Astyanax mexicanus: one gene and its partner. The protein of the gene in region 1 interacts with the protein of each later gene in a pairwise test. Links are inferred from orthologs where the notes say so. Each region holds a gene or a part of one and is shown in the gene's direction. Other genes may lie near its edges. The genes, in order: aspartyl aminopeptidase and mpp1.

Region 1 (12,024 bases):
TTTGGAACTGTTTTCACAGACAGTGATTTTTAAAAGTGTTCCTGAACCCATGCAGTTATTTAGTTTAGTGATTACAGTACAAAATCAGTACAGCCAGATTTTATAATGCAGTGCCACCTGAGGGCCTGAAGATCTTTTATATCCAATACAGACTGTTGGCCTTGTCCCTTAAACACAATGATTTCCCCAGATTCTTCTGATCTGATCTTTTGATAATATGGGCTGTTGATGATGAGATATCTAAAGTCTTTGCAACTGTTGAGGGGCAATTTTTAGCAGATTGGTGAAGCTCTGCCCATCTTTGCTTCTAAGAGAATTGCTTTTTGAAATACCTACCCACTGTGCAAAAGGACACTGGGCCAGATCCGTTTTGAATTGTGCCGGATCTGGGCCAGATCCTTTTTGCTATCTGGGTAGTAATGTGAGGTAGTGTAAATTGCTCCTATTGCAGCTCTTTTTATTTAGGATTTATTCAATAGAAGATACTATAATAGAAAAATATAAGATAATAGAAGAACTTTTCTAGTCTTTTGTTGCCCCCTCCCAACTTTTTTGAGATGTTCCAAATAAGTTGATATTTTTCATAAAGTAGTAAAATGTCTCACTTTCAATATCTGATATGTGCACCATGTTCCTTTGTGAATAAAATGTGTATCTACTGGATCATTGCATTCTGTTTTTATTCATATTTATTTACACTTCACACAGCATACTTTTTTGAAATTGGGGTTGAAGATCTACTGACTGGACTCATTGTCATGTTCATGAAAAGTGTTTTGAAACTATTTTTGATTTATGTTATAATGCACCATAATGCTGGAATAGCACAACAACTTACAAACAAAAATCAACACTCTATGTGCCAAATTAACACTGGAAAATGTACTGTGTATCTGTGAAATGTTCAAATCATTCTCAGAAACATGTCACAGCAAATGTCAACATGTACTAAAATAACAAAATGCAATGTAACATTCTGTACACGTCCAGAGTCCATGTGCACAGGGTGGACCATCTCCCAGACAACCCAGGAAGGTTTTCATGTTCCAGGAAGCAATGTTAATTACAGTCTGACCTTTTGCTACTTGATAACATTATTCATCAGAAAGCACTCTCACTAAGCGAGAAAAATATCACTGATTTCAGTGACAGGTCTATGTTCTGTTCTATTGTAAATTTATTTTTTCCATCATAAGTGAAGAAAGATTATTCTAAATAAAGCATTTTGAAATGCTTTGAGTGGTCCAGCGGACTATGGACCTGCCACTTTGATCAGGAGATCGCTGTTTCTAATCCCATTCACATAGCTCCCATCAGCTGCTGGAGCCCCGAGAGAGTACACAATTGGGCTTGCTCTCTCTGGGTGGGTAGATGGCGCTTTTTCCCCTCATCACTCATAGGCTGATGTTGATCAGCACAGGGCGTCTGTGAGCTGATGTATCAGTTTAAAAAGAGGCGGAGTCTGACTTCACATGTGTTAAAGGAGGCATGTGCTAATGAGTTGGTTGGGCATTTGGCCTTGTAAATTGGGGAGTAAATGCAATAAAAATTAGGGGGGGGAAAGGAAACATACCAAATGTCAGGCGAGGACTAGAGGGGTAAAAAGCCACCAGAACTGAGCTGTGAAGAAGTGGAATTGTGCAATCAAATCCTCAAGCAATGCAACCAAATCAAGCATCAATCCAAGTCTCTCTGGACAGTAGAGACAGTTACTCCAACAAAAGAAGAATAAACTCTTTTTTTAATACCCTTAATTTCAGAAGAAACAATGAAAGAGTACTTTTGTCCATACAATATATGAATATATGAAATCACACAGTCCCTACAAAATTCTCTCAAGCTTAAGTAAATTAGGAAATACGTGTCTTTAAAGATCTCAGTCCTGTTGACTGTGTGATGTGTGTTGGGGGGTGGGAGATGGGGTTACACTGGTAAGGCGAGTGGGGTGAGTGAGTCCAGCTCATGCTAATATTGTACTGGAACCAGGCAACAGTGCAAACACACACATACACATCCCACTATGTAAATGTGATGCCTATTATTGTTTTGCCACAGCAGAGAATTATAATGATCCTTCTTACAGTAATGTTACATCAGAAATTTTCAGAATACTGTGTCTTTTGTCCCTCACAACTAAAGAAAAACATTTTTTTTTATTTACCATATTTATAAGACTACAGACTATTTCCCAGCCTAATCACTTTTAATTTTCACTTTTTATTATCTATCATGCATGCATGAACTCATTAATCTTCATTGATGTTCAATAGACTCAGAAGTCTAAAGAAACATTTTGTCTATCGATTTAAAGGTCTCCTTCTGGGAAAGCAACGCGGCCAGGGGAGAGCGGCACCGCGGCATTTATACCGTGCTATATCTTTATAACTAAGGCTGTATCTCTGAAAACATTTTGTCCTTTGAGTTTTACAGCTGTACATTTGACTGTGGGGGAACGCAGGTAGATGCTCTGCTGCAGTGCTGTTATCCAATCAGAGGCGATATGTTTGCATGTATGAATATTTATGAGCAAGTGCCATAACCAGCCAAGACCAGTAATTTAATTATCTAAAGCAGGGCTATACAGAAAAACCAGCGCACTTTTTTTGCACAAAAAACAGCTCACATGACATTCATTCATATTAGAGATCACAACTAGACATTTTAAAAGGATTGAAAAATGACGGAATGAGACCTTTAAAGGAAGATGCAGGAGATCCTTAATCATCCAGCAAGATAATGATCCACAACACACTGCCTGGAAAAACATCACAGAAAAGAATGCACAAGTTTAGTGATGTCAGTGGCTCACAGGCTAGATGCAGTTATTGCAAGCTGTTCCAATACTTTTGCTCACGAAATGGGTGGGTTCAGGCATAAGGTGTTATCTTCTGAACTGTGTAACAGATTCAAATGTGAATATTTGTGAAATAGATGTGAAATAAAAGCTGAAATATTAATCTTTTATCTCATATTCAATATATAATATTAAACGCACATGGTTTTAATCTACAGCAGAAATAAAGGGATTGTTTCAATACTGTATATCCACCATCTCCAAAGAAGAAGAACTGTGTAACACATACATGCCTTACCGAGACATCTCGGTACTGGAGCTCTAGTAACAGCTCCTCTCCTCTGGAATGCAGTGGATATAATGTAGTGGGTTGTAATTAGACAGTGATTGCATTTCATTTTGGCACAAATTCCTGGCTGCTCCTAGATGAAATGCAATCCTGTGCATTGTAATTTACTTTTGAACATTTGCAGCGCCACACAGTGGAATACAATGCAGTTGAGCTGATTGCATTTTGAGGAGGTTGTGTGCAATTTTGACATGAATTTAGCTTTTGGTTTTGAAATAGTAAATTATTGTATGCTGTTTTTACAAGTGTACATACGTGCTTTAGACAGACAGACAGACCGATCGATAGATACTTTATTTACTGCGCTGGAACATCAGTTCACTATAGCATTAGCTTAAAGCTAGCATTTTTCTAATTACGACTCTTAAACGATCTTGAAATTCAGAGGATCCAGTTAAGTTCAGGAGGAAAATGTACACAGAATAAAACGTACAGGGGTCTGAACATATTCATTTACCACAGAATGTGATAGAGCTGGGTTTTTGAAATGCCCATTCATTTTTCACATAGGGAAAAAATGCTTAGACATGGAAGCCATACGAGGACTACAGAATGGCACACGACTTCAGTGGTCTATTTTTTTTTTTTCCTGGGTACACAGTTTTTATTAAATATGGATTTACAAACATATTGCTACATTTTCACATTTTCATCTACAATGTCCACATATTCATTTTTAATATTATGTAATCTAGGTGTCGTGTGGAAGGTGACCTGTGTAGACTTCTTACAGTCCGATATCCCACAATGCACCTCGCAGCAGTATCAGAGGTGGAGAAAGTAGGTACCAGTAGATTATAGACCACTGAAGTCGTGCGTCATTCTGTAGTGCTCGTACGGCTTCCGTGTCTAAGCGTTTTTTCCCTATGAGAAAAATGAACAGGGTTTTTAATAACCCTTCCTATCACATTCTGAGGTAAATAAATCTGTTTAGATTCTGTGTACATTTTACTCCTAAACATCACTGGATCCTCTGAATCATGAGATTGTTTAAGAGTCGTAATGAGAAAAATTCTAACTTTAAGCTAATGCTACAGCGGAGTGAACTGAACTCCCAGCCTAACTGCAGAGATCAGCCCGGGACTATTTTTGGCGCAACACCAGCAAACTTTGGCTGTAACAATACAGCGTACTAAACACAGTTGAGCCAACTAATGAACTAACTGCGTTGAGGAGAGCTGAGAGTGTCACAGCGTTAAATCACTAAAACAGGACAGTGATACTCCAGAACCAGCTGTAACACATTTTAACATTTACCCTCTTTATTATGCAGTGAAATAAATGGGTGTTTCTGGTTCATTGTTGCCTCAGTGAGGACAGGTAGTTAGTTGATTAGTTGATTAGTTAGTTGTTAGTTGATTATTTGGGTCAGGTTTTGTAATTAGTATAAACTAATGACCGTCATTAAATACTAAACCCTTCGGTGAAAGCACTGCTGAACTGAGAGCCACTTTCTCTTATTATCTGCCTTTTAAAGCTCTAACACAGACTACACTGCTCAACATTGCACTGCTCAACATTACTGAAAGAGTTTTCACCTGTTTAAATGCTTTAATGATCCTCTGTGAGGAAGAATAATAATCCAAAACGTGATCTGACAGGAGTTAGCTGGTGTTATGCAGAATCCAGTCCAGTGTCATTTCCAGCCGCTGTGCTGTGACGTCAGTTATGCATTAGCTTAAAGTTAGCATTTTTCTAATTACTACCCCTAAACGATCTCGTAATTCAGAGGATCCAGTGATGTTTAGGAGGTAAATGTACACAGAATAAAACGTACAGGGTTCTGAACATATTTATTTACCACAGAATGTGACAGAGGCCAGTTTTTGAAGAGCCCATTCAAATTCGCCATTTACATGGACCGCTTAGACACGGAACCCCAAATATGGGCATGAACAACATGGCGCCGACTACAAAATGATGACACGACTTCAGTGGTCTGTTATATGTTTTTGAAATAGTACGAAAAGCTTTATAACACTGAATCAACTGGTTTAGCTGCTCCGAAAGGCTTAAAACTCACAAACTAGTCAGTGTTAGTAATTAGTCTTCAGTGGGAACTCACCCATACAGTACTGTAGATCAGGGGTGTCCAAACTTTTTTTGTTGGGGGCCAGATAGAGAAATATATTTGAAGTCACGGGCCACACTCTGTAATAAAACAAATAATGAAATATACCAATTTAAATAATACTTTTTTCCTGATTATTTCATTTACACACCATTTTACTTGACTTACTGTCTTTATCTTTGACAGTGTTCTGTAAATTAAGATTTTTCAAATTGATGTTTAATTTCATGATGTCTCTTAATATTAAACTCCTTAATTACGGCAACGTTTAGACTCTTTTTAGAAATGCGCACTCTCTCCGCTTTTAGACTCTTTGGCCCGTTTTTCTGCGCTAGAAATGCGCACCCTCTCCGCTTTTAGACTCTTCACCCCGTTTTTTCTGCGCTAGAAGTGCGCACCCTCTCCGCTTTTAGACTCTTTGGCCCGTTTTTATGCGCTACAAATGCGCACCCTCTCCGCTTTTAGACTCTTCACCCCGTTTTTTATGCGCTACAAATGCGCACCCTCTCCGCTTTTAGACTCTTTGGCCCGTTTTTATGCGCTACAAATGCGCACCCTCTCCGCTTTTTATACTCTTCACCCCGTTTTTTATGCGCAAGAAGTGCGCTCCCTCTCCGCTTTTACACTCTTTGGCCCGTTTTTATGCGCTACAAATGCGCACCCTCTCCGCTTTTAGACTCCGCTTTTCTATTTCTAAAATACCTCGCGGGCCGCTCCAAAAAAGGAAACGGGCCGCAGATGGCCCGCGGGCCGTAGTTTGGACACCCTTGCTGTAGATCATTTAGTTTACCGTTGCTGTAACACAGCCTCCGGACACTAGAGGGCGGTAGGTGAGCGCTGCTCCGGCGCTTGATGCTGAGCTGTGTGTTTCTGTGGGGGGGAGACAGGACTGAGGGAGGACTGAGCTTTATTAATGCAGGTGAGCTGTGAGAGAGAGCTATAAAACTCCTGTCAGATAAAATGCCGGGCTTTAGCGGCTTCTGAAGGACTGCAGTTTAACTCCACTAGGCTCAGCTAAAATAAGATAAGCTAAGCTAACTCTGTGTGTGCCTTACTGTCAGCAGCAGCAGCTCCTGGTGTGTAACCCCGGCTGATTTCCCGTCAGTAATCTCAGTGAGCTCTCTCTACACTGAGCTCAGTGTCTCAGTAAACAGGAATTCAGACGGGCTGTTAGAGAGAGTGTTAATCTGCCTGTGGTTCTGATCTCTCTGTGTTCTCTGATTCTCAGTCCTTCATCATGAAATCCTCTAAGGAAGCTGTTCATGCCGCCGCCAAGGAGTTCCTGGGTTTTGTGAATCGTGGAGTTTCGCCGTATCACGGTAGGAAGAACAGCTAACTACATATTCGCGTCTTTCCCCACCTAAATCACACCGGTATCAGCTAGAAATACTAACTCAGTTATTGCTAGTAAATCTATAATTCCACATCTCTTTAATTGTGGTTTATATGGGTATAAACCCTCAGATCTCAGTTATAATATGTACGATACCACTGGTTTGCTCTGAACTGAAGTGTTGATTTGATAAAGCAGATAAAAGAGTGTAACTGTGTTTAAAGGAGAGCATTTCTCAGTTTTTGCCACTGAACTCTTTAGTTACTCACTCTCCTGCTGACTTTCTTTGCATAAAAAATATATTTTTGCATTGCACCTTTTACTGTTTGATGGAAAAACAACCTTTAAACAACGTTTATTTAACATTGTCTAACAAGCATCGCTTAGTGTTGAAATTCTGACATTATATCAACCTTTATTTAAAGGTTTTGAAAGATTCGGGCTCTGAATCTACACTCTACAATCTGCTTTTAGACAAAGTGTGCCTGTAATAATTATGTTAAGAATAATTAATATAATGTATATCATTATTATTTTAAATGCCCTCCTTTACACTGCAAAACACAGTAAAACTAAAAGAATATAATGCAAACAACACCTATCTATTTAATGTAAGTTTATAAGTATATTCTTATGTTGAAGATCGACATTGTTTAAATTCATTAGACATGAAAAAGTGTTTTGTCAACATACTTTTGCAATTTGTGTCTTATCTATAATTATTTAATTCATTAGTAAATCTCCTGTTACACTGCATATGTCTGACACGCACCTTACTACTAGTGAAAACTACATATCTTTAATAAGAATTTACATTCGTCACTATGTTTGTTCAGACTATATATACTTATATAGTATACTATATACTATATAGACTTTTTACTAGTCAGAATTACGTTTGAAGATATCAGGAACTATAATTGCTACTGGTAATAAAGTAATTATATTTTAGGTTAGTGTATTTACAAACTTCAAAAGTTGGATTTAATAAAAAAAAGTTGTTGATTACTGCCCTCACATACAGCCTGTATATTTATATATTTGCATAAGGTATTTGTATTTCTTTTCTTATTCCCATTATTATTGTTGTAAAGCTATAAGACAGTTTCACAAGTTTACCATTGCACTTTGCCCTGAAATAATAATTAGTGTTCTGTATTGAATTTCTATTCATTAAAGGATCCACTTTGTGTTTTCTCTCATTGTATCTCTCTGTTTTATTTCTTTGGTCATAATTCTTGTGCATCTTTCTGTTTTGCAGTGGTGGAAGAGTGCAAATCACGTCTTTTAAAAGCTGGCTTCACAGAGCTGAAGGAGTCTGAGCATTGGGACATCAAACCATCTAACAAGGTGTGCATATGTGTGTCTGGTTATGTGTTTGTGCGTATGCAGTGGCAGGTTTGGAACATGTTTCGGCTGACAACCGCTGTAGCATACTGGCAAACCTGATATTGCATATTCACATTAAGTGCTTAGAGTTTTTCTGTCAGTGTGTGGCTCTGGTTTATGCTGTGCTTTATGCTATGTTTTGAAACTGTAAAATCTAGGTGTCTATCTTAATGTTAGCTAATATAATGCACCTTTCTCTCATCTCGTCTATTACTGTCTTTCTCTTGTATCGGTCTTTTGAGTCTTTTTTTGTGATTTATTGCGTGCGTGTGCTCGTGTGTGTGTGTGTGGTTGGTTTCATTAAAGCTATTCCTTGAAGGTATCCATATATATTTTGTGTGGTTGAGACATATCTTCAGACAGAGGTTTCCTTTTGAGCCTGGCATGGTTTTGCAGATGTTCTCACACGTTATTTTCTGTACTGATTTATTTATTTTATTTTTTGTATGTTTCCTATAGTACTTTGTGACCCGGAACTACTCCACCATCATCGCTTTTGCAGTGGGTGGCTTGTACAAACCGGGCAATGGATTTTCCATGATTGGAGCCCATACAGACAGCCCATGCCTGAGGGTGAGAATAGGCACTGTGAATATGAAATAATATATATAAAAAAAATTGTTTTATCTAGTCCCTGAACTGAAACACTTCCCATATTGTGTAGAATAAAAACGTTGAATTATTTTCAGCAATCCTAGTTGCAGATGTTTGTATAATTCAACTTTATTTGTTGTTGTAGCTGCTAAAATGTGTTGTTTCATATGTTTGTACGAGTAGGTGAAGCCTCGCTCTAAGAAGACGAGGTTGGGCTGTCTGCAGGTCGGTGTGGAGTGTTACGGCGGTGGAATCTGGAACACCTGGTTTGACCGGGATCTGACTGTTGCGGGTCGTGTCATGGTCAAGGTACACGGTCTGATTAGATAAACCACAGTAGTTCAATCTGCATGGCTCACCAGTGCATTTTAACATAAATGCTTACACGTCATATTTTCTCTCTGTCTGTCTGTCTGTCTGTTTTAGAGTGGAGATAAGCTGCTGCATCGCCTGGTGCATGTCCAACGGCCCATCCTCAGGATTCCTCACCTGGCCATTCACCTGCAGAGAGACATTAACGACTCCTTCGGCCCAAACAAGGAGAACCACCTGTAAGTCTCTCAGAGCATCAGTGGAAGTAGGGCTAGAGAGAGAATAATTTATAGACTATTAGAATCTGATTTGTGTGCGTGTGTGTGTGTGTGTGTGTGTGTTTTAGAGTGCCTTTCCTTGCCACTGCAGTTCAGGAAGAGTTGGAGACTGGCTCAGCTGCTTCTGGTGATGCGTGTAATGCAGCAACCACAGTAAGAATTTTTTAAAGGATAGTAAATTCAGTTTAGAGTAGAACAGGTTATGACAACTCTTGTTGATATATTTCCCTTTAAATGCTAGAAATACATATTTTGTTTCAAATGTTTATGTAAACAACCAGATGTGTTTTAATTGTAGCCGTTCACATAGCCTATGTGCTCCCTGTGTTACCAGAGGCTTCCACTAGAGTTCTCTTATTGCCACAGTGGCATGAACACATCATACAGATGCATTTAGCTTTTCTGCAAAACTCTCCATCAGACCGATGCTGCAGAGTGCTGCACAGCAAGTACATCTCTAGTCTGAGATTCACATATATGTATCACCGTATCATGGAACCAGTGATGTAATAATTTAGAAACACACTTGACCATCTTGCCCAGCAGTTTAACCTGTCGGTAGCAGTATACACACACACACATATAATACAAATACATATGTACTAGTGAACAGGACATTGGGAACATACACTACATGCAGTACCAGACAGCCACCCAAGCATCCAGGCTGTATCTGGGTTCCTTTCTTAAAGATAAGTTTATTGTGAATGTTAGGGTAGCCACCTCTGTGCTCCCTCAGTTTCAGGCAGTTTTCATATACAGCTCTGAAAAAAAATAAGAGACCACTTCAGTTTCTTTTATAGGTTTATGTTTGAGTAAAATGAACGTTGTTTTATTGTCCCAAATTCCAAATTAAACAAAGACATCTAGAGCATTTATTTGCAGAAAATGAGAAATGGCTAAAAAAACAAAAAAGATGCAGAGTAATCAGATTTCAAATAATGCAATGAAAACAAGTTCACATTCATAAAGTTTTAGGAGTTCAGAAATCAATATTTGGTGGAATAACCCTGGTTTTTAATCACAGCTTTCATGCATCTTGGCATGTTCTCCTCCACCAGTCTTACTTTCTGCTTTTGGATATCTTGATGCCAGTCCTGTTGCAAAAATTCAAGCAGTTCAGTTTGGTTTGATGGCTTGGTTTCCTCTTGATTATATTTCAGAGGTTTTTAATTTGGTAAAATCAAGGCAACCCATTATTTTTAAGTGGTCTCTTATTATTTTTTTTTTTTTTTTTTTTTTTACCAGGGCTGTATATTTTCATATAATCCAGCACTGTGGGCAGCTGCATGCCAGTTGCTCGGAAAAACCTGCAGAGGCAAGTTACTTTGCAGGTTTGGAACCACAGGACTAAGACTATTTTTGCACAGATTTTTATTTTATTTACTGAGAAAGAAACAAAACTTCAGTGTTTTATTTGTTATGTTTTGTTTAAAAGAGTTAGTGAAGTAATGTTTTAGTCATGCTCATGTCTTTCACACATGGTGAGGTATAATACAGTTTATTAATTCCACAGTTGTATCGGATCAGTACGTTTATCTATCAATATTGGAACTGAGAAAGACTGATTGCTGCATGCCTCAGGAGTATTATCAGGAATGCCCTGTGTCAGTTATACTGTTTCATTGCATGGCATCTTTAATATAGATCACAGCAACCTATTTTAAAGTATTTTTTTGTTCTATGTCTTTTGTTATAATGGATCATTTGTTAGTGTTTGTGTGTGTGACCTGTCATTTCACTCCTCAGCCAGAGAAGCACCACCCGGCTCTGATCCGGCTGCTGTGTGGGGAGCTGGGGGTGGAGCCTGACACTCTGCTGGACTTTGAGCTGTGTCTGGCAGACACGCAGCCTGGGGTGAGTCCTGCTGCTCTCTGGGATCAGAACATCAAAACCTCAGTGTGTGTGCTGTGGTTCACACAGATCATCACGGGCTGCTGTTATCTTGTTGGATGCTGCAGAAGCAGCAAAGCTCCTGTCAGTGTGACTCTCCAGGCCTGTCTGTGGAAATAAATTATAGTGGAAGTGGTTCATTTTCAGAGCTATATCACACACTGTCTCTCTGCATTAATCTCAGTAATGGATTCTAACAGTGTGCAGAAACATGCTCAGAATATTCATTGATGTAATTGCACTCGTACTTTACACAGTGTGAACCTGGCCTTGTGAGAAGTTTAGGTAATGTTGTCTTGTCTATCTTTTGGGGCGTTTTTACGCCTATAAATGGCATGCATTTACAGAACATGCCCTCTTAGTCAGGATTTGTGACATTTATGTACCAGTTTTCAGTGCCAGGGAAATACAATAATCCAGCAGTTCTAATTCCTGGTGCTGGGATACCACTGTTCATGCTGGTTTTATTATTTTCTTGCTGTAACCCAGTTCACCCGGGCCACCTCAGCGAGGGCTGGTGCATTAGTTGATTAGTTGGATCAGGTGAGCTCTAGTTAGTATAAACTGTAAAACCTGCAGTGCAGTGCTACTCCAGGACCAGGACTGAGAACCACTGCTTTAAGCAGAACCTGGAAACTATTTTTGCTTCTGGGTTCTGGTTGGTTCTGTGAATTGCAGTGATCTATTAGCTTTTCACTTCTTTATGTTTGGGCTGTCTGTAAAAGAATATATATATATATATATATTTGCACAGCCAATAGCTAACTCAGTCTGTCTTTTTTTTAGCTGTTATATCATGTACGTTTCTATTTTTCATTTGCTTCACCTTGGTTTGGTTTATTGTTTGTTGTTTTTTGCCCAAGTTAAACCAAAATGCATAACAACAAACCAAAGTGTGTTCTTCCTGTTTATTGGTCAGTGAATACAGGAAGATGGTGGTGTGTTCTAGAGTAGTGTATGTTTCTGTACAGTTTTTACGTGAAGCAGCTGCAGAGATGACATTAGTTTATC
Region 2 (12,290 bases), on another chromosome or scaffold:
CTTAGTTACAGTGTGTGTGTGAGTGCAGGACGGAATTAGCATGTGGTCTATTTAGATACTGTATGCTTTCATTGCTTCCCTATAAAAAGTCTCTCAGACGCTACTTTTGGGTAGTGGACCTTTTTGTGAAAGATTATTGTCTGTTAGACATGCCTCTATGATTCACTTAAAAGCATTTTGCCAAGTTAACTGACTTATTTTAAAAAAGCCTAAATGGTTGGTTCTACCAACTGTCCACAATCAAAGCTAGCCTTTGTTTGCAGTGGTGCATGTATTTAGGAGGTGACTTTCAATCAGACGTAGGCCTGTCGCAATAACAAAATTTTCAGGGCGATATATTGTCCCAGAAATTATTATTACGATAAGCGATAATATTGTCATTTTAAAGCGCCACTATAGAAAATGCTTTTTTCCTGCTTCTGGGCTTTCCAAAGGAGCTTAAAGACAATGTGCCACAGTAAAAAATATATTAGCATAATAATACTATTACTCCATTTTAATATGAAAGTAACTTTTTATTATTAAGAACAGATATAGGGCTTCGAATATAAAAATATAATATCCTAAGTACATAAAACAAATATAGTACAACCACTCTGGGTTCTGAGAAAACAACACTAAATATTAAACAGACTTTTATAGATTAAAAATGTAACAACAAAATAGACTAAAGTAACATTTACATTAATATTTTTTTTCTGTCCATATATGTGTATGCTATAAAACTCAAATTGGCTCAAAAACACAAGTGTCCATCTAATCAAAGACACGGAAAGCTCAGCAGCTCATAGCTCTTTCTATAAATGTATTTTTAATGTAACTGTCAGACAGATCCAGAACAAGGAACACCAACTTGTTTACCGAGGCAGGATCTCTCTGGGGTACCAATATTCATATTAAATATTTAGCTTGGACAATTGGGCTGGATGGTTGTGCTTTAAATGAGATCTCAGCTTCGCTGCCACTGTTTTGAAACAAAGTAAACATACGGGCTTACTCGCGTTGATGGGTTCTCCTCATTCATTTGGCTTAAAGCCAAAATACTCTTACACCGGAGCTGTGGAACTGTAAAACAAAGTCAATCCAGTTGCAATTCATTCTCATGTAAACAAACCCCCACAGAAACACATGGGCTGTTATCGTCATCGGCAAAAATGATAATAAAAAATAAAAAATTATTGTATGATAAGTCAAGGTGTTATCCTTTTCTCCAGTCTGCTCGGAGGGCATGTCAACTATGTTTAAAAGCTGTGTTTATTATGCATGTGTGTTTATATAAATCTACATATATAAAGTTAAATTAATTATGACAAATAAACATAAACCCTGGAACAATTTATGTCCATTAAATACAGCAATAATGAGAGGCCCTCTTGAATATGTGTCATGTGGTCGGTATGTGTAAATGTGGTTCACAAAACTCATAAAATACAAATTCACAAATACATTATTGTATGCAAATACAAACCTGTTTAACTGAAACATAGTTTACCTACAATAAGTGAATGTTGACAATTCTGAAATCAGTAATTCCGAAATATAAAAATGAATATAATTCATAATAATGTATGCTGCTATATCTTTATATTTAAATAATGAATAATTCCATACATATAAATGTATGTAAAAAAGTTTGTATCTAACTTAAATTGTGTTATCAGAACACATCACTGCGTTACTACAGGCAATACATTAATTGCATAGGTTTTTTTTTATTTATTTATTAGTTTTTAGAAAAATAAAAGGGTTAGAGGGTTTTCCTTTGGTTTACTGCGGTTAGGGTGAGGGTTGAGGTTAGATGTCAGATCAGAGCATTTCTCAGTTACAGTAATAGGAGTCAATGGAAATACCCCACAAAGACAGGAAGACAGGAAGGTCTGCAAGTGCGTTTGCATGTGTGGCAGTGTGTGGGAGTCCCCATGTACTAATGACATGTCTTCAACTTTTGCACATATATTCAACTGGTATAATCTATTGCTCTTTAAGCTGTTCATTTTTCCACATTACATGACTTATTATATGAGTGCTACTTTAGGTAAAACTAAGGTTTTAGCTAATCTTTCTATCACTTTGCTGTTCAGAGGACAAAGCACATAAGCAGGAAAATTAAACACATACAGAGTTTGTTTTTTAAAAGAACGGCTTTTAACATTAATTTAATTAATTTAACTTTATTTACTAATAATAAAAAAGTGAATTGCTGTTATCTGTTCATAGAGTGATGACTAGAGCCATGGTTACAGACTGAAATTTCAATTTAAATGCAAATGATAAACCGTGAACCTCAAACAGTATTTATTTTACTGAATTATTAATTCAGCATAACCAAAACTATAAAACTATAGCTGTACAATTCCAACACCTCATTTTATATACACTTCTAAAATTAACATGTACCCAGTGCATTAGAAAGAGCCGTTCAAAGGCCTAATCAAAGATAAGACAAGTGCCTTTTCAGGTAAAAAAAGAAAGCAAGTGGGTGTTCATTTAATATTAAAAATATATGGATTGGTCCACTCAAAAATAATACAGCAGAAAAAGCATGAAATTGTTTTAAATTAAACTTTTGCGTGCTGTGTTTGTTGTTAGCAACTGGCGCTGACTGTTATGTGGTCTTTCACTTTGTTTAGGCTTCAGTTCAGATGCCTGTTCAGAAATATCTTGCAGTCAGCAGCAGCTTCACTGACCCGAGCTTTCGCCTCATTGGGCACCAGCTTTACACGCAGGTTGGTGATGAGAGCAATGAATCTCAACAATAATAATATAGTGCAATAAAAACGACTTTTGGATAATGTCTTGTTCTGCTAATAGACTAGGAGGGTTTGGGTTATCTAAAGTTTATATTATCTGCTGCCAAAAATATTTTTAATAAAATGACACCATCATAAGAAGTAAGTTACTTTCAGTAGAAAAAATAAATAATAATAAAATAAAAAATATAGTTTTTACTTCACACTTTTTTGTAAATATACAACAAAATTTACATGCCAATAATAATAATAATAATAAGAAGAAGAAGAATCAAATCTGTTGCTATATTATTTAAAATATTAGATGAAAACTTATCTAATATTTTTGTCATATATTTATATTATTCAGACATTACATGCATAATTGTTTCTAACAACAGTAAATGTAATGTGAAGTAACATGTTTAGGTTGTAAAGTGACCTTTAGTTGGATCTAATAATAACCAGAAGTACAGAAAAAAATGTGATTAATCGCTTCTACACCACTTACAGATGGGTGCTGTGAAGTTGTCATTGTGCCATCTCTACCAATCAGCAAAGATATTAAAAACTGTGTTGGACTCAAGCCCTCAGTTCTCCAGCATCAGCCTCATAGAACTTCCTCAGCTAGATGGGCCTAGTTGTCTCGTTGTGTTTTTTTGCCAGTGTTTGGTGTGTATTGTGAGTTACACACCAGCAGATGGCAGCAGATTTTCAGAAAAGAGACTCTAAAAACATTTGTTCTGTGAGGCACGTGGTTAGTTGCCATTCTGGTGCCCATTTGGTTCACAGCTTAGATGTACATTGGTCATACAGAACATGGAGTGTATCTATGTTGACCACTTCATGATATCATTAAATGGTAATGGTGCGTGTTACTATTTCACAGTAGATCTGTACTCCTAAATCTTATCCAATGGTGATGTATGTGCCTCAGACCTTTTAAAATATTTGGAACGTTCCTTGCAGCACTATGTCCTTCATTTAAACTCACAAAGTCCCTAACTAACATATACTCAACATCCTGAGCGGATTACATGGCAATGTGTGAATCTGTGTTCATTCATCTGACCTTATTTACCGAATGTAGGAGTGCTGGGTTAGTGCTGAGATAAAACTAGCTACTTTTAAAATGTATTATTAACTTCTACAGCTCTGTTACAACCATTTAACAGTTCAAATGCTTTAAATAGTATAGGCCTGATTTCTGGAACAAAATGTTCAAATACAAGTTATCAGGATTTAACCTTAAAGTATTTACATAAGAAAAAAAAAACAGGAATGAGCTGCTTACTGATTTTTATCTTACTCAGTTTTTAATTTGACATCAATATTGACAAATGGGTCTGGGCTCTTATTGGTTAAGGAAATGGCACTCAGTAAAAGCTGCACATCTTAAAGTCAACATGCCCAGTGCCAACTTCAGCTAGAAGGGGTTATTTTGAAAAGGGACAAAAAGCTCACAAGTTTGTTCTGCAATGGCAGTGTTTCTGACATTTTGACAGCATTCACAAATTCTGAATATGTGAATGCTGATGACATTTCAACTGCACACACAAAGGCGTACAACACAAATTGAAAACATTGGAGTTATAGATATTGTATGTGCACTATATTTACAGAGCTGTAGTGCCAAATACTATAAAATTATACTGATTTACAACATTATGATAATACTGTATCACTTTATAATGTTTATCTCTACGTAACATATCTAGGGTATGTAGGAAACTATAGTAATTGCAATACACACATTGTGTACAATTGAATAAAAAAAAACTGAAGTTGAAAATACCAGTCTAGCTCCACTAAGACTGCAACTTTTGAAAAAAAATAATTTATTTATGTAGTGTTTTATAATACTTCAATGATCAGCTATAATGTTTTCTCCTCTCTACAGCAATATATGGCACTTGTGTAGTATCCTGAAGTAAAGAAATATTGTAATTATGTAAATGTACTCCAGGTAATTTACAAGGATCCCTCTTGTAGTGTTGTAGTGGCACGTGCTTAAAATCTGCTTTTAAATTCTACTTTTTATATTTGTTCAAATGCACATATATTTATTTAGATTAAATAAATGACTAAAGATGAATAGATTTAATATTAAATTGTGTTGCACTGTATACGATTATTTAAAGCTGCCTCGCTTGTGTAATGAATGCTGCTCTAAGGCAGCTTTATAAAGCTGATTAACTCATTAATGCATGCTACCTTAATAAAATGCTATCAGTGAACCAGATGACGGCAGGCATTGGATGATCAATGGAAGCACTTCTAACAAGATAAGATTAACATTTTTGAATTGCTAGAAAATGCATTCTTTGTTAAGTGTCTGTTAGTGTTAATATTTGCGATTTATTGTTTGATTGAATACTGAATAGAATGTTCTAAAAAATAAAGAGAAATTTTTATTTACATAATTGAATCAGTATTTAGTTATTTAAATGTTTATTGTGTAAGCAATTTATATTTCAGAAACATCAATACAATTTTCTTCAAAACAATGCAAAACCAAATGCAGCACATATCTACTGACGTAGAGAGTAGAGATACTGGAGTGGCCTGCCTGCAGTTCCTAGCTGTCCCTAATAGTGAATGTGCAGAGTTTTGAAATTAAATGTATGTAGGACTGTTTGCAGGAAGAATGGGACAAACTAACACCAAAAAAGAATGGCAACATTGACAGGTGGTAAATGCTTTACCATTCCAGCTATTTGGGATATCTACTTGGAGGAACCACCTTGATTTTCATATCCCATAGCCAATATTGTATTGGATAAAAATAAAAGCTCTTGAGCCCATAATAAGCTATTCAAAGGGCTCTGACACACTAAAAATAAAAGTCTAGGCTTTTTAAACAGTGCAATGTATAATAAAGCGGTTGAATATCCTGATGTCAATGTGAAACACAATAAATGAATGCTATTGAAATGTATACTGTAAATGCCAATAAAAATTATTTTGAAGTTTGTGACATTTGGACAAAATGTTTGATACATAAAAATATATAAAAATATTTATTTGGTGGCAAAAAATAAGCAGTATTGAAAAAAACTTACTCTCTGCTGAAAAAATATATCAAACCACTATAAGCCCAAACTTCTGAGCCTGGTAGCTGGTTAGACCCTCTAAATCCCGCTTGTAGCAAGTAACGTACCCATATTTTAGGATTATTAAAGGAAGGTGATAAAAATACAACACGTCGTTGTGGACTTTTTGCCTACCCTTACAATGGCAAATGCCATGCTAGCTAACGCTATATTTTTTACAGTAATCTTGCAGATATTCGTATATTTGTTTTGACAGCACTGCACTGTTTGTTTTGGCCGCCATATTTGAACCCGTTAATGTTGACATTTCCACAGCGCTCGCGTTAGTTCTGTACAGGCTCATTGCAGAACTGGTTAATGTTGTTTAAGGTTAAGACTTGGACAGCTCTCTCAGAGGCTGTTGACATTTCCACCACTCTACCACTACACACACACTCTTACACACACTCGCTCACACACACACACACACACACACACACACACATTCGCTCAGTCTCAGCTTTAGCATTAGCCCCCTCCTCCCTCCGCTCCGTCATCATATCCACGTAACTGCTCCGCTCTGATGGAAGCTGCAGCGAACCCACCCCCAGGTTTCTCCTCCTCCAGAGCCTCCATACGTAAGTGTTTATGCGCTTTTGTCAGCTGGTTCTCCACAGCAGTAACAGCAGTAGAAGCAGCAGGAGCTCCATCGCCCTGAACTTCGGACTTCGAGCAGGAGCTGAACTTTTATCTCACACTTTATCTCCAGCTTCCTTATCGCTCTTTTTTCCGCCCTCAAGACTCCCCTCTCTCTCTCTCTCTCTATCTCCCCATCTGACCAGAGGTTATTTTTTAACCTCTATCCCCCACCAACCTTTTTTTGCAGCGACTCTGTAGATATGACGTTAAAGTGCAGTAAGAACGAGCCTGCCGTCACTCTGGAGCGGGTGAGCAGCGTCCGCACGGCTCTCTCGGACCTCTACCTGGAGCAGCTGCTGCAGAACAAGCCCAAGGCTGACAAGGTGAGTAACCTAGCTAGCTGAGAGCCCTGTACTGAACCCAGTTCAGTACTGTCCTCAGTGCTCTTCCATTTTCCCCTCTTTCCCTTCATCCCTTCCTCTTCCTCTTTTCCCTTTCTCTCGGTAGCTTTCAGGTCTCCTCCTCGTGTATCGTGACTGTATTCGTTTGGTCTTTGCTGGCCTGCGGTGTAGGCAGATGTGGTGGTGCTGGTTCAGACCGGCGCAGCCCGGTTTGTGTTCAGCATCATCATCATCATCACCAACATCAACAACATCACCCCCAGCCTCAGGCTGCTTCAACTTCAGCCAATTCACAGCACAGATCAGCTGGAGCTGCTAGTAGCTGCACTGCTGTAGACCCCAAAATCCATCTAGCACTGACTGTAGACAGTATAAAAAATATATGTACTATAAAAAAAGATGCAGAGCTTTCAGACCTCAATAGAGTTCAGAAATCAATATTTGGTGCAATAACCCTTTTTTAATCACAGTTTTTATGCATCTTGGCATGTTCTCCTCCACCAGTCTTACACACTGTTTTTGGATAACTTTATGCCAATCCTGGTGCAAAAAGGCAGTTCAGCTCGGTATGATGGCTCGTGATCACCCATCTTCCTCTTGATTATATTCCAGAGGTTTTCAGTTTGGTCAAATCAAAGAAACTCATCATTTTTAAGTTGTCTCAATTTTTTTTTTCCAAAAAAACAAAAGTGCTCAAGCTGTTCTGGAGTTTTTGAAGGGATGCCATAAAAGAACCAATTTTGGTTTATATATGATATATATATATATGAAAATATAAGATATTTAGTTCACAATGGTTCTTTAAACCCCTTAAGAAGTGTTTCTTCAAGGACTCTAGATAAATGCTAAGTGGTCTTCAAATGAGACCATATAGAGCTGGTCAAAATGGTAAAAAAAAATTAATGATATTTAAATTTTAAATTAATATTATTTTTTTATTTTTCATGATACGTGGTTTCATGATATTTATCGCAATATTTAGACTCACAGACTGAGGTCAGTGTTTTTTGTTCAAAATATGCAATTAATCTAATCAAACAGGACTTATTACACTCGCTGTGATTAAATGTACAGTTGAATTAGTGTTCTTGAATTAGTGTTCTTCATTTATCACAGTGCACTAAATAATTGTAGGGCTGTAACTAATTGTTAAATTGGTAGATACCTAATCTGATGGTTATTTTTCTGATTGGTTGTTGATTAGTCAACAGTTATTTCTGCCATGCCCCCATCACTTTAAAATGAAATAAACATCTGAAAGTGGGACTTAAGTTCCCTGTAAATGCATAAAAGATGTTTAAATGTGGAATATGGGTTTTTAGAGAGTAAATATGTAATCTGTTGTGTGTGGACACTTTTGGAGACAGACCAGGTTGTAATTGTAAACTATGTGAATGAGCCTATGAACTCTTTTTTCCATTGTGTTTTATTCCCTAACACTCTGTGTAGAGCACTGGTGTCACAAATTAACTATTTATAGAGTTGACAATTTTCATAGTTGACATTGTCGGTTACATCTTGGCAGTTCTAAAATATCATCATACTGCCCACCGTTTCTTAGGAGAAGCACTTTTGGTTTCTATATAAATATTTCAGTGGATGTTTCTTAGCCCTTAGAAGACTCCTCTTAAAGAACAACCCTAGAAATGCTTGGTTCCATAGAAAAAAAGAAAAACATTGGATTCCATAACAAACCATGTTTGTGTAAAGTACTTTTAAATTGGTAAAATTCTTGAAACTATTATAAGTTTTTTTTTTCATACATATTTTTCTCACATATTTTATAACAACATGGTTCTTCTGTGGCATTTGTCATAGATCCCATTGTACCATTTATCACAAATATAAATGGTATTAAAGAGGTTTAATACATCTTTACAAATTAGCTTTTTAGACCTCTTTTTAGACTAGAGTCTCTTTTAGACTAACTAGAGCACTAGTTAACTAGTTTTACTGTGGATCAAGTTGGGGGATCAAGACCCAGGTTTGCTGCACTGCCACTGTTGGGCCCCTGAGAAAGGCCCTTGAGCATGTGTGTTTGCTCAATGGTGAATAACACACTGTGTGTGTATTCATTGCACAGAGGGGTTAAAGGCATAAGTCAAATTCCATCTGCGTCCAACATAAAGGGTTGACTTTGTCTTCGTTTTAAAACAAAAAGGGTCTTTTATAGTGTTAAAAGGGGGTTCTTTGACTAGTTAATATGGTGGAATCCTCTAGGGTGCTATATAGAGTTTTAATGGTTCTCCTGGTGTATTGTGTGTATATATAAACAACACTTTTAACCTATAAAATTGCTTCTCTTACACACAAATCTCTGGTCTTTTTCATCACAGAAATACATCAGAGTATTGATTAATTGATTGATTATTTTGCTCTGTTCTCATGTAACACGTGACATGACTCAACTCCAGTCATTATTGGAAGCCCAGTTTATAAAAGCAGGCTCATCACTGACTAATGTATTAGCACAAAAAACACTGTGATGTAATCAAACAGACAAAGAGCCATCTTCTGAGACACACTAGCTGAGAACATCTACGTAAAAGGAACACATGCTCTGTTAATCGTTAATCTTACAAGTGCTGTTCTTTGGTTGACGTTGTTATGAGCCTAATGCAGTTTTTCTCTGATTAGCCTGACAGATTGAAACCCACCCATTGGGTCGTTAATGTATACAAGGGTCTAGAGATAATGTTCTTTGAAAGGATCCGAAACCGTTCTAGGTGTGAATGTGTAGCTGGGGGAAGGGTTAACGAACAAGACCAATCTGCCCTCTATTGTGTCATCAGGAGGGTCTTTATAAGCCAACTGGAGCTTTATTGTCTCTTCAGGAGAAGGTTGAGACTTTAAGAAGCAACCATATTAGACTGACTTGCATTAGAGTGGCTTTTGTGGACAGATTGTTTCGTAAAGACTTTGGTCATAAGCACAAGCTACTGCTGAGTTAATCTGCTCGGTCAACAGCGGAGGCTTCGTGTTCATAACAGGTCAAAGACCTGCAGTAAAACTTGTGGTATGTAGGAACACGCAAAACAAAAGGATTAAATCTGACTTTACACATATGAGTCATCTGGGTCCAAGAAATGTGACACGTGAACTGGTACCTTGAGGTCCATTATGATAAATGGAAGGATAAAGCCAATGTAAAAAAAGAAAAAATATATGTATATATTTTCTTCAAAATCATCAGATTATGGGGCATGTGGTCCTGTCATGATAACCCAATTTCGTGGACAATATATTGTCTCAGAAATTATTTCGATAAACGATATTATTGTCATTTTTAGACTATTAAATGCCCTTGATATAATGATAATGAAATAGCACAACAAAGCATTCATATAATTTTAAAGACAACAGTCCTGCACTGTGTGTATGGAGTCACCGTTATTGAAGCATTGGTCTTTGCATTGGACTGTTATATATTTTTTACTATATTTTTTACTAAATATGCTGTATTTTGGTTTTGATTAAATAAACACTGATATTTTAGCATTGTAGTGTTATTAAGATTTTCGTCATATCATATCTAATAATATAGTGTCATTTCTTTCACGCGTACCGAGATATGAGTGTTTTAGTTCGATTAAAAATCACCCAGCCCTTGGCTGTGCTATTGATTATATTAGCAAGTAACAGATATAATGCTCATTTTGAGACTTTCAGTTATTCACAAAAATGTCACTAAAAATATAGATTTACTGGATAGTGGGTCAGTTTAGGATTTAAACATATAATTAAACATAGTTTTGTGCCACCTGCATTATCAATTTTCATTTAATTTCCAGTCATATATAAGTCATGTACACTTATTAAAGAAAACACATTTTATTTCAACTTCTGTCAAGTTCCTACTGGTAAAGGATTCATTTTCTGTAGTAAAAGAGGTATTTGAGTAATAATAACATCATTTTAAGTTTTTTTTTTTTTTAATAAAAAGATAATCATTAATCGTGGCACCCCTACTTGTAATAGTATCAAATGTAGTTTTTTCACATTCTTAGCAGCGTAAAGTGACGAAATGTTTTTTACAGCACTAATTGAGGCTATAAAAATGTGCGGTGGCATCCCACACCTGTGAGAAGATGCTGACTTAAGGAATAAATGCACGCTAGGGACACACTTGCTCTGGACTGCAGCAGAACACTTTAGCTGCAGTGCGAAAATGCTGGGCATAGTCCATTACTATCTGAAATTGCTTCTGTCCTGACTCTCTGTCCTTATCTCGTCTCTTCTTACCAGCGGGCGTTTGAAGCTATTTATGACCGGGTATACTTTTATCTAGATGTTCCATCAAAGAGCACATTTTATTAATGTTTCAAAAGCACAAAAGGGTCAGTAGAGGTGGGCAATTACTTCTATGATTCATTTCAAATGATACGTATGCGGCACTGTTGATTGAGGAATATGAAAACCCTGTACACCTGTGGCAATGGAATGTCCCATACATCTGGCATCCACTATCAGGCTTTCACCTCTTCTTGCCTTGAGTCCACTGGCAAGTATTCAGTATCTCTCACATAATAACACCTTACAACTTATACTGTATTTTTCGCACTATAAGGCGCACCAGATTATAAGGTGCGTTTTAAGAGACACTAAGTTAAGGAGTAGCTAACTAAGTTAAGTAAAGCTAAGCTAAGTAAACAAAACTGTAAGTCAAACGAGTGCTGTATGTTAATATACACAGATTTCTCTCCTGAAAATTTGGTTGAGTGAAGCGCATCTGTTTATTTACAGTAAGCTTAGATTCCCGAAATTCTCCAGCACTAAGGCTGGAGCATTGGCATTAGCGGCTAATGCAATCTGACAGCACTACACTGAGGAACCCTAAATGTTCCGGTAACCTAGGGTGATATTAGCTAGGAGTTCATCCCACATAGCTTGTTTTAACACAGTAAATGCACAGGCTACAGTCTGCTATACTCCCCTCTGAACGACAAACGAGCTAGCGTGGTTAGCGGCTAATGCTAATCCTGCTCCAGCAGTGCTAGTCAAGGTTAGCAGCAGGCTACAGGCTGATAATACTCACCTTTGAACGGGGAAATAGCGGTTAGCATCTACTGCTAATGCTACTCCTGCCTCGGCATGTTTTCCCTGCAGGCACATAACAGTATTAGACTGAAATTTTTTTGTCATCTGACAAAATGTCTGTTGACGTTGGTGGCCAGCTGGGTTATATACTGTAGGTTTAGGGACATACTATATCAAGTCTGAGAATCATATAAACATATTCAGGACATGCATATATATATACGTAATTAACCTATGGTGACCTATTGACATGTATGGAATTTAGTCAGTACTTTCAGAGCAATGGCTGATGGATGCACATATGTTAATTTCTCATTTGCCTCCAGTGAATAGTCGCTGTTGTTGGCGATAATCCATTCTTAGTCATGTATCAGAGGAGCTTCATCTGTCAGGCTGAAGAGTCCAGGCACACTATAAATAGATACGGTCGCGTCTGCCTGCCGTGCCATGTC

Evidence for each region.
Region 2: the proteins of aspartyl aminopeptidase (region 1) and mpp1 interact in binary tests that used the Homo sapiens proteins (3 or more experiments, as listed by UniProt). The two-hybrid records come from large-scale screens. The link is inferred for Astyanax mexicanus from reciprocal best matches to the Homo sapiens genes DNPEP and MPP1.

The regions. Positions count from the first base shown.
Region 1 is NC_064412.1:42,241,994-42,254,017, forward strand, and holds the start of aspartyl aminopeptidase, read left to right. Parts: upstream 1-5,979; 5' UTR 5,980-6,127; coding exon 6,128-6,133; intron 6,134-6,143; exon of another isoform or gene 6,144-6,314; intron 6,315-6,442; coding exon 6,443-6,533; intron 6,534-7,808; coding exon 7,809-7,897; intron 7,898-8,395; coding exon 8,396-8,509; intron 8,510-8,713; coding exon 8,714-8,839; intron 8,840-8,956; coding exon 8,957-9,081; intron 9,082-9,188; coding exon 9,189-9,273; intron 9,274-10,869; coding exon 10,870-10,977; intron 10,978-12,024.
Region 2 is NC_064424.1:19,031,507-19,043,796, reverse strand, and holds the start of mpp1 (55 kDa erythrocyte membrane protein), read left to right. Parts: upstream 1-6,278; 5' UTR 6,279-6,399; intron 6,400-6,647; 5' UTR 6,648-6,660; coding exon 6,661-6,783; intron 6,784-12,290. UniProt on the Homo sapiens protein: Essential regulator of neutrophil polarity. Regulates neutrophil polarization by regulating AKT1 phosphorylation through a mechanism that is independent of PIK3CG activity.